2 linked regions of the Rhinolophus ferrumequinum genome follow. Each later gene encodes a partner of the first gene's protein in a complex. Links are inferred from orthologs where the notes say so. Each region holds a gene or a part of one and is shown in the gene's direction. Other genes may lie near its edges.

Evidence for each region.
Region 2: the proteins of AP3D1 (region 1) and AP3B1 are in contact, whole or in part, in a cryo-EM structure (PDB 9C5C), measured with the Homo sapiens proteins. The link is inferred for Rhinolophus ferrumequinum from reciprocal best matches to the Homo sapiens genes AP3D1 and AP3B1. Residues at the interface, in NP_003929.4 of Homo sapiens: Lys352, Leu442, Ile446, Ser471, Tyr483, Trp487, Glu491, His517, Ala520, Val521, Gln524, Asn525, Lys528, Val561, Gln562, Ser563, Ala564, Leu566, Glu567, Gln569, Glu570, Arg571, Ser573, Cys574, Gln577, Leu578, His581, Ile582, Leu585, Lys588; in NP_003655.3 of Homo sapiens: Asn75, Lys466, Lys467, Gln470, Val494, Ala497, Ser498, Trp501, Leu531, Leu534, Gln535, Asn538, Lys542, Asn567, Tyr568, Asp569, Asp572, Arg573, Arg575, Phe576, Ile577, Gln579, Leu580, Lys586, Gly588, Ala589, Leu590, Ser591, Tyr593, Lys596.

What each region holds. Positions count from the first base shown.
Region 1 is NC_046301.1:61,102,753-61,112,628, forward strand, and holds the start of AP3D1 (AP-3 complex subunit delta-1), read left to right. Parts: upstream 1-5,439; 5' UTR 5,440-5,690; coding exon 5,691-5,786; intron 5,787-9,876. UniProt on the Homo sapiens protein: Part of the AP-3 complex, an adaptor-related complex which is not clathrin-associated. The complex is associated with the Golgi region as well as more peripheral structures.
Region 2 is NC_046290.1:50,197,396-50,206,418, reverse strand, and holds the start of AP3B1 (AP-3 complex subunit beta-1), read left to right. Parts: upstream 1-4,526; 5' UTR 4,527-4,666; coding exon 4,667-4,794; intron 4,795-9,023. UniProt on the Homo sapiens protein: Subunit of non-clathrin- and clathrin-associated adaptor protein complex 3 (AP-3) that plays a role in protein sorting in the late-Golgi/trans-Golgi network (TGN) and/or endosomes.

The sequences.
Region 1 (9,876 bases):
AACTCCTAAGAAAGAGAACTAAACAAAATGGAGATAAGCAATGTACCAGACTCAGCGTTCCAAACACTGGTTATAAGGATGCTAAAGGATCTCAAGGAGAACTTCAGCAAAAAGATAGTAAATATAAAAATGGAGATAGAAAACATAAAAATGAACCAGTCAGAAATAAAGAATATAATAATGGTAATGAAAAATATGTTACAGAGACTCAACAGTAGATTAAATGAAGCAGAGGATCGAATCAGCGATTTAGAAGATAAGGTAGCAGAAAACACCCAATCAGAAAAGCAAAAGAAAAAAAAATCCAAAAAAATGAGGAAAGTTTAACAGGCCTCTTGGGCAACATCAAACATACCAATATATATTTTATAGGGGTACCAGAAGGAGAAGAGAAAGAGTAAGGAATTGAAAACCTATTTGAAGAAATAATGATGGAAAACTTTTCTAACCTGGTGAAGGAAATAGATATACAAGCCCAGGAAGCACAGAGAGAGAATACCAAACAAGATAAATCCAAAGAGGCCCACACCAAGACACATCATAATTAAAATGCCAAAGGTTAAAGACAGAGAATCTTATAAGCAGCAAGAGAAAAGCAGTTAGTTACCTACAAGGGAGCTCCCATAAGATGATCAGCTGATTTCTGAACAGAAACTTTGTAGATCAGAAGGGACTGGCAGAAAATATTCAAAGTGATGAAAAGCAAGGACCTACAGCCAGTATTACTCTACCCAGCAAAGCTATCATTTAGAATCGAAGGACAGATGAAGAGCTCCCCAGACAAGAAAAAGCTAAGAGTTCATCACCACCAAATCAATATTTTAAGGACTCTTAGAGGGACTTCTTTAAGACGAAAAAAATAAAAAATAAAAAATAAGAATAATAAAATGGCAATAACTACATACCTATGAACAATTACTTTCAATGTAAATGAATTAAATGCTTCAATCAAAAGATGGGGAGCTGAAAGGATAACAAATCAAGACCCTCACATATGCTGCCTACAAGAGACTCACTTCAGATCAAAAGACACATGCAGACTGAAAGTAAAGGGATGGAAAAAGATATTTCATGAAAATGGAAACAAACAAACCAAAAAAAGTTCTTAAAGTGAACTGGCACTTTAAGGAAACTGAGGTATCAATACTTATACCAGACAAAATAGACTTTAAAACAAAGACTATAACAAGACACAAAGAAGAACCTAGTAATCCCACTCCTGGATATTTATCTGAACAAACCCGAAATACTGCTTCAAGGGAACACGCTCATCCACATGTTCATTGCAACAATGTTCACATCAGCCAAGATATGAATGCAACCTGGATGTCCCTGAATGGATGAATGGATAAAGAAGAGGTGGTACATACAGAAGGTGCCAAAAAATATACACACATTTTAAGAAAGGAAAAAACTGTTGAAATTGTAGTGTTCGATATATACTTGGTAACAAGAGATGAATACAAGTTGTGTTTGACTTCTGCAATTACAAAAGGTGCTCAAAGTTGTTACCATCAGCGTCCAGACACTTCTGATTATGGTGAACTACTGCTTGAGCAACGTTGACCAAAGTGTCCACTTGTATACATTTTTTTGGTACCCCTGGTATATACAATGGACTATTACTCAGCCACAAAAAAGAATGAAGTCTCGCCATCTGTGACAACATGGATGGACCTAAAGGGTATTGTGCTGAGTATGGTAAGTCAGACAGCGAAAGACAAATAAATGTCATATGATTATACTTATAAGTGGATTCTAAAGAACAAGACAAGCAAACAAACAAAACAGAAACAAACTCATAGATACAGAGAACATTTTGATGGTTGCCAGATGGGAGGGGGTTTGGGGGTGGGTGAAAAAGGGGAAGGGATTAAGAAGTACAAATGGGTAGTTACAAAGCAGTCACGGGGATTTAAAGTATAGCGTTAGGAATATAGTTAATAATATTGTAAGAACTGTATGGTGTCAGATGGGTGCTAGATTTGTTGGGGTGATAGATGGGAGGGTGTTTCGGGCAGGATGATAAAGGTGAAGGGGTTAAGAAATACAAATGGGTGGTTATAAAGCTGTAGTGGGCATGTAAAGCATAGGGAAGATAATCAATAATATGGTAATAATTAGGTATAGTTCCAGGTAGGTACTAGGCAGGGGGATCATTTCGTAAATTATATAAATGTCTAACCCCTATGCTGTATCCTTGAAATTAATATGAAATAATTTTGAATGTCAAGTGTAATTGAAAATTTTTAAAAAGGGGGAAAAGATAAAGGGAAATAAGAGGTTCAAAGTTCCAGGTATAAAAAAGTCTTGGGGATGTAATATACAGCATAGGAAATATAGTCAGTAATATTGTGATAGCGTGATTATGGTGTCAGATGGTTGCTGGACTTATCATGGAGATAAAAGTGAACTGGCACTTTAAGGAAACTGACCAGGAAGTCGGGACTAGAGAGTAACAGGAAGCCCCGCTCCATCCATGACCTCCCAACTCCCTGGTCGGTTTCCTTAAAATGCCAGTTCGCTTTTATCAATGGTTATCACTTCTTTAGCATAGAGAACATAATCAATTATAGGGTAATAACTATGTATAGTACCAGGTGGGTACTGTTGAATAACTATGATGTAATACCTGAAACTAATATATGTTAGCTATATCTTAATAAAAATATTTTTAAAAATAAAGTGGACAACATATATACGGAGGGTGCCAAAAATACTTATAGACATTTTAAGAAAGGAAAACTATTAACATTGTAACACTCAACATATATATAGATAACAAAAAATGAATGCAAGTCACGTTTTTGTGTGTTTTATTTTTTTTAAAGATTTTACTGGGGAAGGTGAACAGGACTTTATTGAGGAACAGTGTGTACTTCCAGGACTTTTTTTCCAGGTCAAGTTGTTGTCCTTTCAGGCTTAGTTGTGGAGGGTGCATGCAGCTCAGCTCCAGGTCCAGTTGCCGTTACTAGTTGCAGGGTGCGCAGCCCACCATCTCTTGCACCGGCAACCTTGTGGTTGAGAGCCCACTGGCCCATGCGGGAATCGAACTGGCAACCTTCAGAGTTAGGAGCACGGAGCTCCAACCGCCTGAGCCACAGGCCGGCCCTATAAGTAATGTTTGACTTCTGCAATTATAAGAGGTGCTCAAAGTGGTTACCATCAGAGTCCAGACACTTCTGATTATGGCGAACTACTGCTTGAGCAATGTTGATCAAAGTGTTAACATTTCTTAAAATGTGTATGCATGTTTTTGGCACCGTGTGTGTGTGTGTGTGTGTGTGTGTGTGTGTGTGTGTGTGTGTGTTATCAGTGCTGTCAGTTTCCACCATTGAATTAGTGATTAGTGTTTAGACCACTTACTACATTTAATGGAAGTATCAATATGGTCGGGTTTAAATCTACCGTCTTGCTATTTTTCCCTCCTGTTCTTTGTAATCTTTTTCCTCGTTGCTTTATTTTGGATTGACCATTTTTTTATTATTCCATTTATACCTATAATTGTCTTATTAATGATTCCTCTTTATTTTTAGTGATTTTCCTAGGGTTATACCACACTACTTCTTCACACATAATGTAAGACCCTTACAACAGTACATTTCCATTTCCACCTTCTATTCTTATATATACTACTGTGTTACTTTAAATATGTTACAAGTAAACTCACCATACATTATTGTTATTTTTGCTTTAAAGAGTCAATTACCATTTTTGTAAATCGAGAAATAATTATATTTTCCACATTTTAAACATTTCTTGTGTTCTTTCTTTTGCATAGATCCAAATCTCTGTTTGGCATCATTTTCCTTCTGTCCCAAAGAATATTCTTTAACATTTTTCTTAATGTAGGTCTACTGCTCATAAATTCTCTCAGCTTTTATTTGTCTGAAAATATGTATTTTGCCTTCATTTTTTAAAATACATTGTTACTGGATATAGAATTATAGGGGTTTATTTTGTTTTGGTACTTTAAAAATATTATTCCATTGTCTTCTGGTATGAATTATTTATGCTAAAAATCTTAGTCATTCTTAATACTTAACTATCATTTTAGATTAGTTTCACCTGTAATTGAACTTCACATCAATAGAATCATACTTTGTACAATCTTTTGTATTTGTCTTATTGTGTTCAACATAATAATGTGTCTGTGTAATTCATCCATTTTGTTCGGTGTATTAATAATTTGTTATTTTTCATTGCTGCATAGTATTGTGTGAATATGTCACAAGTTACTTATCAATTTCTGTTGATGGACATTTGGGTTATTTTGGATTTTTGGCTAATATAAATACAACTACTTTGAATATTCTTGTCCGAATGTTTGATGGATATATTAATGCATTCTTGTTAGGAACAGTACTGGAATTGCTGGGTCATAGGATATGCATATGTTAGTTTTAAGAAACAGCCAGGTGGGTTTCTAATTTAGCTGTGTAGTTTTACTGTTCTACTTTAAGTATAAAAGAGGAGAGTTCAGCATTTGATGTCATCAATCTTTCTAATTTTATCCATTCTCATAGGGGTACAGAGACATATCACATTGTGGTTTAAATTTATATTTTCCTGATGACTGAGATGGAGCATATAACCATTGTACATATCCACTGACCATTTGGATGTCTTCTTTTCTGAAACGCACGTTTGTTTTTTGCCATGTTTTAAGTAGGTTTTTTTTCTTCATGATTTGTAGGCATTTTTGTCTTGTTCTGCTTTGTTTTCTGCTTGTTGAACCATATTATGGCAATAAGTCCTTTGTCAAATATATGTATTGCAAATGGCTTATCCCAGTTTGTGGCTTGCTTTTTTATTCTCTTAGTGGTGTATCCGGAGGGCAAGCACCGCAGGTATCTCATTCACTGCTGGGTGTCCAGGGATCGCTACCATGCTTGGCACACACAGCAGGTCCTCCAATAAATGTTGAATGAATGACTGCTTGGGAGTCCTAGCTCTGGGCCATGGTTTCCTTTTCCTGCTCATATCACACGATTTTGTGAGACTTGCAAGAGACGCAGAAGCGGATCTCTGCAGCGTAGGTTTTAAGGTTCTCAAGCAGCGTCAGCTTTTAGAATCAGAAAGGCGGAGCAGGATTCTTCTCCAGGAACTTGCCTAAGAAGCTCCACGTGAGCACCCCGCCCACAGCAGGCCCCGCCCACTTCTGTCACTTAACTGAGGGGCGGACTGGGAGGTTTCTCCTAGGGGGGCATGGTTGGAACCGAAACGAGGAAGTGGGTGGAGCTCCTGAGGACACTGACCAATGAGAGGGAAGAGACCTGAGAGGGAGTGGGCGGGGCCATGTGGGCGCAGACAGGGTTGTCTGCGTTTCCATTGGGCGGCCTGGCGTCGTCAGGGAAATGTGATATCCGGAGTTAGGGGGCGGGTCTTAGTGGGAGGCGGGGCTTCCGGGAGGGCCGGCCGCCGCGGCACCCGCGGTCAGCTGACCGGCCGCCATCTTGTCCGCCATTTGCAAGCGCGGCGAAGCGTGAGGGGAGGGCAGTGCGGCCTGCCCAGCGGGTTCCGCCCGCCGCCGCCTCTTCCTCCTCCTCGCAGACCGCCGCGGGCCTGGCCTGGGATCCCGTCCCGCCGCGGCGGCAAGCACTCCGCGGGCGGCAGGCGCAGCCCCCAGACCCCCGCACGGCACTCACCCGCGAGCCTCCCGGGGCTCGAGCCTGCCGGTGGCCGCCGCGATGGCCCTCAAGATGGTCAAGGGCAGCATCGACCGCATGTTCGATAAGAACCTGCAGGACCTGGTGCGCGGCATCCGCAACCACAAGGAGGACGAGGTGAGACCGGAGCGCCGCGCGGGGCCGGCCTGGCTCTGCTCGCGACCCCGACCCTCCATCCTGGCCTGCAGCCCGCCCTAGAGGTCCCGCTCCCGGCTCGAGTCCCACCTGCCCGCGGTCTGGGCGCCGCACACCCTCTGTCCGAACCTCAGTGTACCCCTGAGGGCCCAAGGCGGCCCCAGAAGAGACCCCGGAGGCCCTCAAAGCTGCGGTTCTCAGACTCCCCCCACCCCCCATGTATCTGCTCGCCTGCGGGACCCTGCCGCTGGGTGGCCTCCCTCCTGGAGTCTCAGTTTATACGCTCGGCAATGGGGGCTGCTTCCCCCTCCCCGCCGGTGACTCCGGAAGAGACTTCGCAGGTCCCCTCGAGCGGCGGCCTTCCAACCTTGTGTTTTGGGATCACCTGTTCAAAACATAGGGTCCCCGGCCTCGCCCTAAGCCTCTGGACTCCTGGTTGCGGAACCTTCCTGTCCGCAGGCCGCCCCCAGAGGAACCCCCTATGGGATTAGTGCGTGGCCAGGTCGCTGCCTGCGGCCTGGCCCGGAACTGGTCCTTGCCTCGTGGGCACGTGTCCTGGGGAAGGTGGGGCCCGCCCCTCTTAGAGAGGGAGGGGAGGCTAGGAGTGTCCCTGCCCAAAATAAGGAAGCTGCTAAGGGCTCCTGGAATGGGGAAGCCGACTTTAACTAGAAACCCAAAAGCCAGGGTGAGGGAAAGGTTTCCAGAAGTAAAATTGTAACAGTGGGCACCATTTCCTTCCTTTTTCTCCTCTCCCCAACCTGTGACCTAGATTTAGGAGGAATGGGGACAGTTAGTAGCCACCAGACCTTTGGCCTCATGGATGAGGCCCAAGCCCTCCCTTATACAGTGGGACATTAAAGAAAGTCTCCGCTTTACAGGCTGCATGGAGAGAGGCTACCCTGAGGAGAGCAGCTGTTTGGTGCTGTGCAGGTCCCACTGCCTGAGGCTAATGCCCTCCTCACAATGGCACCCAGGCAAGTGTACTTGACAGACTGGAAGGTGCGGAGGAAGTTGAATTTGCTGGGAGGCATAGGCACCCGCAGCCCAGGTCCCTGTGCTGGGAGCCTGAGTTCCTGCCTGTGTAGCACTTTTTCAGAATAGGTGTGACTTCACTGAAATGTAATTAGGTTATTTTCTCTCATTTCCATCACCTTTCCCTTCCCTGGGTTTTGCTTTATGTTGAAGCTCTGCCTAATGGCAAGTGTTACAATGTGCAGCTAACTCTAGTCCTGATCTTCAGTTTCTTTCTGAGTTAAAAGAGTAGCTGGTTGGCCCCTGTTACCGAGCAGTGGCTAAGCAAATTTGGTTTGCACCCATAGATTTCTTTTTTTGCACTGGTTATCCTCCCTGGTTTCCCTCACTGAGCAGCCTGTTCCAGATGCTGAGGACAGGCCACTGGGCCTTTCCTGCAGAGAAACACACTCCAGTTAGGGCACCTGGGTTTTTAGGAGGGTGTGTCCATCATCACTGGGCAGTACCCCGACCCTTGGTTTCTTCATTTGGAATTGGTGGAAATTGATAACGTCTTTCCCACAGGCTTGGGGCCCATTCAACGGGTGCATTGATGATGGAAGCATTTTTTAAATAGCACAGTGCCAGGCTGGTGCTGGAAGTCCTCAAAAGTCAGGTTTCTGCATGGACCTTGCCCTTAGCCTATTGGCGATTCCCAGCAGAATGTGGCACAGACACCTGTGATCTTTTGTATTCAGGTTGTCATGGTCTCGAGGGTCATTACTGAGACGTCACTTCTGACTTGACTTTCATCTCTGTCCCTGTGGCACTGCAGGCAAGGATTGCTGAATTACTCTGCTAGTTCCCCCACTCTCTAAAATAGGCTCTCCCCTCCCACCCCACCACACCCCTTCAAGAGACTTCTGACAATATCGTTTTTTCTGTACCAGTACAATTCCCTCCCCCCTGCAAAGTTTACTTTTTATGATAGATTTTAGCTTAAAACATCCATATGGTATAGAAATGAGGCTTAGCAGTAACTTTAAAAACCATGTGGAAAGGCAGGGTGATTTAGTGGAAGTTATATTGTATGAAGTTTAGGAGACCTGAGTCCAAGTTCTTGGACCTGTTTAACTGTGTGACCTTGGGAAAGCCCCTGACTGGTTTCCTCACCTGTAAAGTGGGGGCGACAGCTGCCTCCCCTCCTCACAGAGTGCTTATGAGGGTGCAGTAAGTGACGTAATGCAGGCTTCTGTGAGTGCCAGAGCATCCCAGGAAGTTGTCTGCCTTGCTATTTCCAAATCTCATTCTCTGACCCCATAGTGGGTTATGAATTCAATTTAATGGGTTATGTAAAAAAGAAAAACGAAAATCCCAGACCGCAAGCAGCACGTAGGGTAACTCTTGTTTCTTGATAAACTTTTAGTTCGGCTTAGGATACTAAGTGTACCTGTATGTGTGTATTGGGTTAGCATGGAAAGCATATTTCTTGAAATGAGTCCTCAAAGTTTGAAAAATAGTGGCCTAATTCACACATTTATGGGTGCTTGAATTTATTGTCCTTAAGATACAGCAAGGATGATGTTGGCAAGTAGGGGGGAATCCACTGGGGAATGCTGTTGCTTCTAAAAGTTGGATACGACTAGGAGAAATCCCTGTCGCGTCCTGCACGACGAGGGTTGTGGGGAGTGAGGAGGGCAGCGCAGGGTTAAGAAAGACAGTAGCCCTGAATAGAGTTTAAGCGGGGGCCAAGGGACCGGCAGCCTCAAGGACTGGACGCCCTGAATTGGGCCTACGCTTAGCTTTTATTAGTTAGGTGGGTAAGTAAAGGAGATAAAGCTTGTCAATCTCAAGATCTGTGAATCCCACACATCATAATAGGAAACTGATACAAGCCAGTCACCCTTGCCTGCAGGCAGCAGAACCGTGAGTCTCAGGATGTGTGTACTTCCCTGAGGGACAAAACCTGTATGCATATGAATAGATGGAGAGCACACCATTGAGTCTCTTCCCCTGCAGGTTGTGGGAAGGAATGCAGCCACTGAGGCAGAGGCTCTCCTTGGGGCGGGGGGGAGGGGCTGTGCCCACCTCTATGAACCCCGTGGATTCTCCTGTTGGTCCCCACTCCACTGCGCCTGGCTTGAGTTGTCCGCCCCCTGCCCCCTATGGGGAATCTTACCCGTCATTGGCTGACCAGCCATCCTCCGGGGCCAAACAGGGAGACATAAGGTGCAAGCTCAAAGGTGAAGCACAGTCCCTGAAAGGATTAGTCTCACAGACTCTCCTTCCTTTAGGGGCAGGTACGAGGGGACAGACGGGTAGGCTGCTGCGTGACAACAACCCCAAGTGACTTAATATTTCATTCTCATGGGTACTTTTTATATTTCAGGGGAAACTTTTTCTTTTAATCTAACTATACCCATAACTTTTTGTAATAAGCTTAGTGTTCATTAAGTTAAAAAGGACAATACCTCTCCCTGCGAATCAGTTTGGTGTCTGTACTTCTAGACTGTTGTCTGTTAGTAGAAATCACTGATGACTCTGTAGGTTTAGACTGTTGGGATTTGCCATGAGTGTAGTCTCACTGCCAGCTTTCCCTGTGAGCGTAGCCAGTCCCCCTCGGGTGGGCATTAAGTGCTTCCAGTTTGCTTTCTGGGGCCACAGTTCCCTCCACTGGGCACAAACTCTGCACACACCTGTTGGTATTTAGGTTCTGGGAAGCCTTGTACGTGTGGGCGTCTGCTGCCCCTGCCTGGTGCTCAGTACCCAGTGACTGCACGCCCTCCCTTGCCTTTGCTTTGATACTCGGTTTAGACCCCGCTCCTGGAAGCTCCCTGCACTTCCCAAGGCTGTGGAGGCCTCCCTCTGTGCCTCTAGGTGAGCCCCCAAGCTGGCGTCTCTGGGGGCCCACCCACAGGGCTCTGTGGTCTATCACCTTGTGCTCCAAAGGCCACGCTGCCGCTGCCCACTCCCAGCTGGTGACAGTGCACAGAGCCACCTAGGCAGGTGACTGGCCTTGCTAAACTTTCCTTAGCCACTTCCACCCAGCGTTTCTTCCCTGGCCCTTCACTCAGGGCCAGACCCGCATGGCTGTCTCCCAGCTCCCTCCCGTTTCCTCTTG
Region 2 (9,023 bases), on another chromosome or scaffold:
GGTACAGCAGAGTAATTAAAAGTGTAGACCCTGGAGTCTGGTCTTGGTTCAAAGAACAGCTCTGCTATTTTATTAGCTGTGTAAACTTGGACAAGTTTCTCAAGCCCAGTTCCTCAGTTTTTCACCTGTGAAATGAGGATGCTAATGGTAACTGCCTCACAGGATTGGATGAGGATTGAATGAATTAATATATGCAAAGCACTAAGAAGAGTGTCTGGAACATACTAAGATAATTGAACTATAACAGTGGGATGGTATGTGAGTGATTTTTGAATTATGTAATATAATTCATAAAAATAAACAATCAAGTATTTTTTAATATATGACCATTAAATATTTTCACCATTACTGCCTTGTGTTATAGCATTGTACATATTCAAGTAGAGGCTTGTCTCTTCTATTATGATGTCTTTTGAGGATAAGGCCTGGCTTTTCCTCGAGTATGTTCCCTACGTGATCTCCAGCACGTGCCATGTACAAGGTAGTTCCATAGGTATTTGTTGAATGTATTAATAAAATATTCAGATTCCTCTTTGCACATAAATATTTCAGAGCTTCAACATTTAGTAAGCAGTGTTAGAAGGAAGCTGATCCTATCATTTCAACATTTAGCGGCAAGTCCAGAGATTTTGTTAACATAGATTTGCTTCCACATGACGCAGTATTCTGAAAGTGTTACTTCCTTTTCCCTATTCACAAGAGTTTTATTTTTAAATGAGGATGAGAACTAATAATTTTTAGAAACTTTGAATCTCAGAAAGGTTAAGAACATGCCTTGCCTTCATACATCTTGCTAGTGAGGCAGTCAGGGTTCAAACGTGGGTCTGGCTGATTGTCCTTTTTGCTGCTAAAGTGAAGTGGAAAGAAAGGCTATATTCACTGACTTCATAAGTGAGCCTCAGAGAAGACATACAGGAAGAGATTTCCAGTAGTCCTGTCCTTCAGCAGTGCTTCACTTTGCTGAGCACATTCCCTAGCTATTTAAACTTCTTCCAAAACCCAGGAGTGATAAACTTCTTTCAATGTATTAGGAATAAGAGGGAAAGTATAATGACATGATCATTTTGTATAACTTAAGCCTTTGCCTCTGAGATTAAGGCCATCTAAAAGTCTTCAATAAGAGAATCATAAGTGGCCTAAAATATTCCCTTTGTGATATTTAGTAATATAGCCTCTCTTTATTCATAAATCGTTTCAAATAAACATTAGTGATGATCTCATGTAGGGTTGAAGACACTGCATTTTCCAAATCAATTTCATTATAAAATATAATAATGAGGTCATGGCATTTTCAACACATACATTTGCAGGTATGTACCATTTTAGAAAACCTAAAGAATGAAAAACCCCAAATGCTCGATAAATTGGAGGATTGCATCCATTCAATTTCAGAAGAGTTCTTCATGTTCCAAATTGATCAATCACTGCGGTTCTTTAAACAGGAAAGCATAACTCATGTTCATTTAACAGAAGAAACTTTGTACTCTATTTGGAAAAATTCTCCTTAATGTAATGCAAGTATTCCACAGGGATGTGTATTCGAGAGTGACATATAGTAACTAAACAGATTAGCTGTTCCAATAAATTCTGTAACCAGTGAGGGTGGGGATTAGGGGGAGGTGCTATATCAGAATGAGTGGTCCAGAAAGACCTCTCTGCATAGGTGATATTTAAGCTAACAGCTGAGTAAAAGCCTGAATAAAGCTGAAGGAACCAGCCTTTTGAAGACCTATTGGAAGAATGCTGCTGGCAGAAAGCTCAGCAAGCAAGGTCTCTCAGGTCAGAACAAGCTTGGTGGATCAAGGAACAGAAAGGCCAGACTGTCTGGAGGGCAGTAAACTAGGGGGAGTGGGTCACAATGAAGTCAAGAGATGTAAATGAGGGCCAGATCAATCAGGACCATGATAAGTGCATATAAATGACCTAACTTGGAGCTTCAAGAGCTTAATAAATGGAAACTCTTAGTCATTAGAGATCATATTGTTTTATTCATAATTCATTTTTTTTAAAAAAAATAGGAGTAGCTTTATTTCTTATAATGAATTCAAATGAACACTTAGAAAATACTTGTGAAATTTGAAGCTCAGATCTTCACTAATCCTGTAAATTTTAAATTCTATTAAAATCATAAGAAGAGTTATTTTCTAATAGTAAAGGCTGCTAAAACTATTTTTTATGGAATTTGTCTTACAAATATTTGTTTATTGTTTCTAGCCTAGATTTATGCTGAGGCTATTTTGTCCCAATCCTCAACCATGAGACCCCTCAATCCCAAAAACATTTTCCTGAAATTCATTCAATTTTTGTAGTTTAGTTTTAATCAATCTGGAATTTACTTATAAGTATTACGTGAGTTAGAGATGGTGGTAGGCTGCATGATGACTCCCAGTACATATCCAATTCCTAATTCCTGGAAACTGTGACTATTACCTTATATGGCAAAAGTGACTTTGCAGATGTGATCGAATTAAAGATTTTGAGATGGAAAGATTATCCTGGATTATCTGGATGGGCCTTAAATGTATTCACAAGTGTCCTTAAAAAAGGGAGGCAAAGGGAGATTTGACACAGATTGGAAAACGCAATGTGAAGACAGAGTGGATCGAGATTTACAGATACTGTGCTGTTCGCCTTGAAGAATGGAAGAAGGGGCCACAGCCAAGGAATGCAAGGAATACAAGGGATGTAGCTTTGGAAGCTAGAAAAGGCAAGAAAGGGCTTCTCCCCTAGAACCTCTGCAAAAAGTGGCCCTGCTTATACCTTAGATTGTGCACCTTAATTTTGAACTTCAGGACTCCAGAAATATAAGAATAAATTTATCCTTTTTGAAGCCACCAAAATTTGTGGGAATTTGTTACAGCAGTCATTGGAAACTAATACAGAGATCTAACTTTACACGTAGTTAACTAATTAATTGCTCTAGTGCCATTTATTGAATAATACGTTATTTCCTAAATGATCTGAAATGTTAACTTTACTATGTCAATACCTGCATATAGTTGAGTCTTTTTCTATTCTGTTCCACCAATCTATTTACTCTTGAGAAAAATACCAAACTTTTAAATTACAATAACTTTATAGTACATTTAAATGAGTGGTAGCATAATTTCTTCATCACATTATACTTTTTTTTTTTTAAATTTTTTTGCTTTAAGCTGCATTTATTCTTTCAGGTGAACTTTAGATTGAATTTGTCTAGTGGAAAAAAAAGTTGAATTTTGACTGAAACTGCATTAAATATACAGATTCACTTGAATATTCCTATTCAGAAACAGATTATCTTTTCATATTTCATATATCACCCTCCCTATTTAAACTGCAAAATTTCATAGTTTTTCTTCACTTAGGTCTTATACAGTTCTTAAGGCTTATTTCTTAAGACTTATTTGTTCTACTGTGGAATAGGATCTTTTTAAAATTACATTTTCTAATTAGATACCATTGGTGTGTCAGAGTGCTATTGTCTTTTTGCCTCTGGCAACTCTGCTTAATCAATTTAAGGTGTAATAATTTTCTCTTAGATCATCCAGCAAGATAATCATATCATCTGCAAATATTATTATAATCGTTCTCTTCTTTTTCACTACTTATTTTTCTTGTCCTATTGGATTAGCTAGAATCTAGAACGTGTAAAATGATAATGGCGTTAATGGGCCTAGTTGTCTTTTTATTGATTTCAGCTGGAATGCCTTCAGTGTTTCACTATTAAATAAGATGCTTTAGATTGTATAATTTGTGGTGGAATTTTAAGTTTATCTGTATGTGTATTTTATCTTTATATATATATGCATAAGAATGCTAAGAATATTTCTGTTTCTAGGTTACTATTTCTTTAAATCAGAAGAGCTGATGACGTGTTACTAATTTCCAATATCTATCAACATATATTATATACTTATATTAAGGATAAGTTTCTTAATGTTGAAAAATTCTTTTATTATATAAAAAACTATTGGGTAATTTTAATGTTTGCATTTTCTGTTTAGTATTTTATTTAGAAAGTCTATAGCTCCCTTTTCTTTGTATCTTCAGGCTTGGATATCAGTAAAACGCAGCGGAGAGAAAGGTTTCATTCAAGTGGAGAGGGATGGGATAAGGATTGCCTAGGGTGGATGTGAAAGTAAGGCAACACTGGCTGGAGGCAGAGGAGCAGAAACCAGTCTAACGAGGAAAAGCGATCCCGGTATTCTTAGGAAAGTTGATCTGGTGTGTTAAATGGCGTTTCAGGAGAAATCTGAAAGCTATTGATTTACAGCAGGAGGCAAGCAAAGAGGTGTCGGGGCTCGGGGAACCAACCTCCTTAAAGGATCAAAATGGGTGCAATGGATACCTTCCTCCTATGAAACTTTAAAAGCCGAGACCAGTTAACGGCAAGCGCAGGGCCTCCCTAAGGCACAGCCTATGTCCAAGCCTCTCAGCTACCTCAAAAACCCGGAGAACGTAAATCCAGGCCGGCCCTGGAGTGGCCGGCGGTGGGCTCCGGCCAGCTTGCACACTGGGCATGCGCAGGGGGTGGACCGCCTGGTCGGCTTAAGAAGCCGTGACGAGTCCGGAAGCGCCTGCGCGCGCCCCTCCGAGAACTAGTTTTGTTCCGTGTCTCTCGGGCTGGAGCGGGTCGGAGAGAACCTCGGGCAGGACCAATACGATCCCTGCCAGCATCGCAACAATGTCCAGCAACAGCTTCGCTTACAATGAGCAGTCCGGGGGAGGGGAGGCGACGGAGCTGGGTCAGGAGGCGACCTCAACCATTTCCCCCTCCGGCGCCTTCGGCCTCTTTAGCAGCGATCTGAAAAAGTGAGGAGGAAGGTTTGGGGTGCAGGGACGGGATTGAGGAGCTGGGGACCCGGGATGAGCGGGCGCCGGGCTCGGGCCCCCGGAAGGGGGTGGGATCGTCCTGAGACTTCTGCGGGGCTGGGCGGAACATTTCCCGCAGGTGGGTGGGGTTTGGTCTTTTGGGAGTGGAGGGAGTTGATGGGGACTTGGGGTGAGTGTGTGTAAGGGTCTCTGGTAGTTTCCAAACTTTAGTGCAAGAACCATTTGGAGAGCTTACGTCCCACCCCCAACGATTCTGATTGAGTTGGTTTAGGGCATAGGAATCTGAATGTTGAACGAACACTTTTAGCCAATTTAACGATTGCTGGATCAAACGTGGAGAAATTCGCAATTAGGGTGAAAGAGTTTGGGGAGTTGAGAGGGAGAGTTGGAGTGTGAGTGTTGCTTATGGGAAACAATTCTGTGACTCTGGAGTGGAGGTGCAAGGAGGTGTTCAGGCGCTTTATGAATAGATAATTTATACAAACATTAATGTTCTTGGACAATATCCTTTGCACAACAGACAAAAACAAAACCAACCCAGTTCCAAACTAAATAATAAGCATATGAGTAGAGAATAGAGTTACTATTTACAAATCCTAAAATTTTATAAGTTAATAATGTGAATTTTTAAAACAAATACTAAACAAGGTGCTCTTAGTTTTTAAAAATATGGTAAGAATATTTTAAGTACCACCATAAAATGGAATGAAAACACCCCCAAATTGTTTTTTTTTTGTGGGAGGTGTTAAACTTACAGGATGTTGGTAAGATTTATATTTTGTAATCCTTTTTTACATTTTTCTTATTTTTGATCTCTCAATACTAAACAGTATGGTTACATAATGGGTTCTCACTAGATTCATGCTAAATTAAAGTACTTGTTCTCGGTTGCTTTGCTGTTGTCAGAAGAGTATATTTAAATTTTGATAATAAGTTTTACTAACAAGATTGGGCCATCTGGAAAGTGCTCCAGTAGTTGAAATTGGGATTACATTTTGACTATTAAGCTTATTGAAATCTTGTATACATCATGTGGAATACAGTATTTTTCTTTATTCTCAGGTTAGAAAAGTTTAAAAGTAAAATAACTGATTTCTTCTCATTTTTCATTCTGTGCATTTAGAGGATGGATTGTTCTAACAAGGGGCTTGTTGCAGTTCTGTTGACAAAATGTTTCAACTGTAGAATTAACCTATAAGTCTACCTCAGTCTGTTTTGCATGTGATTTGCTTGCAATTTATTTACTTTTATGGTTTCTGAACATCTATTTTTCTCTTAGAGCCCTTGATTTCCTCTTTTGTCAGATTTAGGTCTGATTTGGAAAAAAATGTATGGCTCTGACTATGAGCAATGTGCTGTTGAGGTGCCTGAGCAGGCTGGCTTTAAAATAAAAATAGCCAACATGTATTTGAGTGCTTGTGCATTTATTATCTTTACATTTATTATCTCATTCAGTCCTGCTAACAGCCCTGTAGCTTGTTCCCAGATGTTGTACTTCTCTGATCCCACTTTGCAGATTAGGAAATTGGAGCACAAATGGTTAACTTGCTCACAATCACAAAGCTAGAACACTGCACTGTCTGAATTTGAACCCAGACACTCTTCTCTTAGAGCCTATTCTCTAGTGCTTGGATGTGCTACTTTCTACTTGATGAAATTTATGGTGCTTTTATTAGAGAATGCATACAACTCATTAAAAGTTTAAAACTGTGAAGAGTAGCTGTAAACAGTACATGACCTTGAAGCTTCCAGGAATTAGAAACATTTTGGCTATTGAACTACAACCTAATGAATGGGGTTGTACCAAATGAGACCCCTGTTCTGGAAGTGGTCACTTAATCTTTCTTGATCCTATATTCTCTCATTTGTAAAATGGTGGTATTTCTTGCCTTTAAAAACAAAACGACAAACTTTATATAAAACACTTAAAGCTTACCTTGTTTCTCTGCTCTTTTGAAATAGTTTCAGGTTTACAAAAAAGTTCTAAGTGTAGTACAGACAACTACCCTTTATGCACTCGCCAATTTAAAAAAAAATTTACTACATTGCTTTGTTTCTCTTTGTCTCTCTCTGTATACACGCACAGACACATACACACATTCATACTATTATTTTTTCTGAACCTACATGATGTAGGTTGTGTACATCATGTCCCTTTACTCTTAATACCTTAGTGTGTAGTTTTTAAGAACAAAGATTGTCTTACACAACCACACTACTGTTATATTCAGGATATTTAACATCAACATAATCTACAATATAATTAGTATAATCCAGTGTTGTCTCTTAATCCAGTAAAGAATTTTTTATTTTAGCAATTTTTTCCCTTCAGTACAGGATACAATCCAGGATCATGTATTTCATTTAGTTGTCTAATCTCTTTAATCTGGAATAGTCCCTTAGCCTTTGTCTTTCACTACCTTGACACGTTTGAAGAATGCACGCCAATTAATAGCACATTAATCAATTTGGATTTACTGGTGTTTCCTATGTTTAGATTCATGTTATGTATCCCTGGCCAGAGTATTAACGTAAGTGATGTGTCCTTCTCAGACTATTGTATCCACAGGCGTAGGATGTCCATCTTAATAATAATTGTCTAGTTGTCCATTATTTCTTTTTTACCAGTAATTTATCGATGGGGGGACACTTTGAGAACATGCAGATGTCTTGCTCCTCATTAAGTTCACCACCCCCTATATTTAGCAACCATTGATGAATCTCCTGAACTAGTCTTTGCCACGATGGCTGCAAAATTTTGATGTTCCACCTCTGACTCCTACTATTCTGCTCTTTGGCCTCTTGTCCTAGAGCCCTGTGTCCTTTCATCCTTCACTAACCATCACAAGGATGCCTGATCACTTCCTAGTCACAGGATTATTGATGATTTTGTTTTTTAAATTTAATCTTATTTATCAATTTTATTTATCCTCACGCCCCTTTAAACAAAACCAAAATTAGGGAGTTTTAGAAACTCCCTAATTTTAGGGAAGATCCTATATATCATTTATTGGTTAATCAAGCCTGTATATTAGATTGTTGGCTTCACTATTTTCAGTTCTTGATTTAAAATGTAAAGAATTAATTTTTTTGTATTTCTTTTTTTGAGACTGTTGTAAACTTTTCTTGCTTTTAGTTTTTTTCCTAAATTATTTTCGTTTGTCTTAAACAAGCTCTTTTTTAATCTTTACCAACTGCCTGTGTGTATAATTTAAAAATAATTCTAATTTATTTCTGGATTAAACATTTAGTTAGGAATTAATTTCTAGAAGGAAACGGGACTAAATTAATTTTTCTTAATAATAGTAAGACTACTAAATCTCCTGATTTCTTTTAAGAGCATCTCAGTGCATTAGAAAAGCATTGGACCTAGAGTGAGAAGACCTGGATATAAGTTAATGCTTTCCACTTGTAGTAATGTTTCCTCATTCAAGTTGTTTGATCTCTTCAAGCACTGTCCTCATTTCTAAAAAGGGTATGGTAATACTTGCCTGTCTTATGAAGTTCTCACAAGGTGGTGTAGTTAAAAGTGATTTCTAAACCAGTATATTAACTAACACTATTTGGAAAAGTTAGTGCAAGTTTCACTGACGTGGTGACATGTTAGGTCTGAAAGCCTGAGGTTTTTACCAGGTGGAGGGAAGGAGTTTTTCAGACAAACCAGGTAGAAACCAGGAGAGCTGCAAAAGAAAACGCATGTTCAGCTGACATACAGATTAAGGCATCAGCATTTAGAACTTTAGGTAGTAATCAGAGCCCAGGAATGGATGAAACCATCCTGGGAGAACTTTTCTTGTTAGAGGAGAAGGCTATTTAGAGAAGTCTCTAGGCAACACCAATATTTTAAGTGTGAATGGAAAAAGAACTAGGGAGAAAGAGAGTGCTCAAAGGGATAGGAAACCAGAGGAAGCTTAAAAAAAAAAAGGAAGCTAAGAGTAAAGTTAGTAAGAGAAAACAGTCACCTATAAGGGGTTGCATAATGAGGACAAAGAAGAATAAAGGCAGAAAAGAGGCCTCGGGTTTAACAATGAAAAGGTCTTAGCAACCAGTGACTTAGCAGTGCAGTACCACTTGAAACACATGGAAATGTAGCATTTTTAGTCCTTGATGAAATTGGGGTGGACTTTTCATTTGTTTAGGTTCATAGAGCCAATTTAGTATGCTTTTCTGTAGTCATACTATAGCATGTAATTATGATACAATCAAAA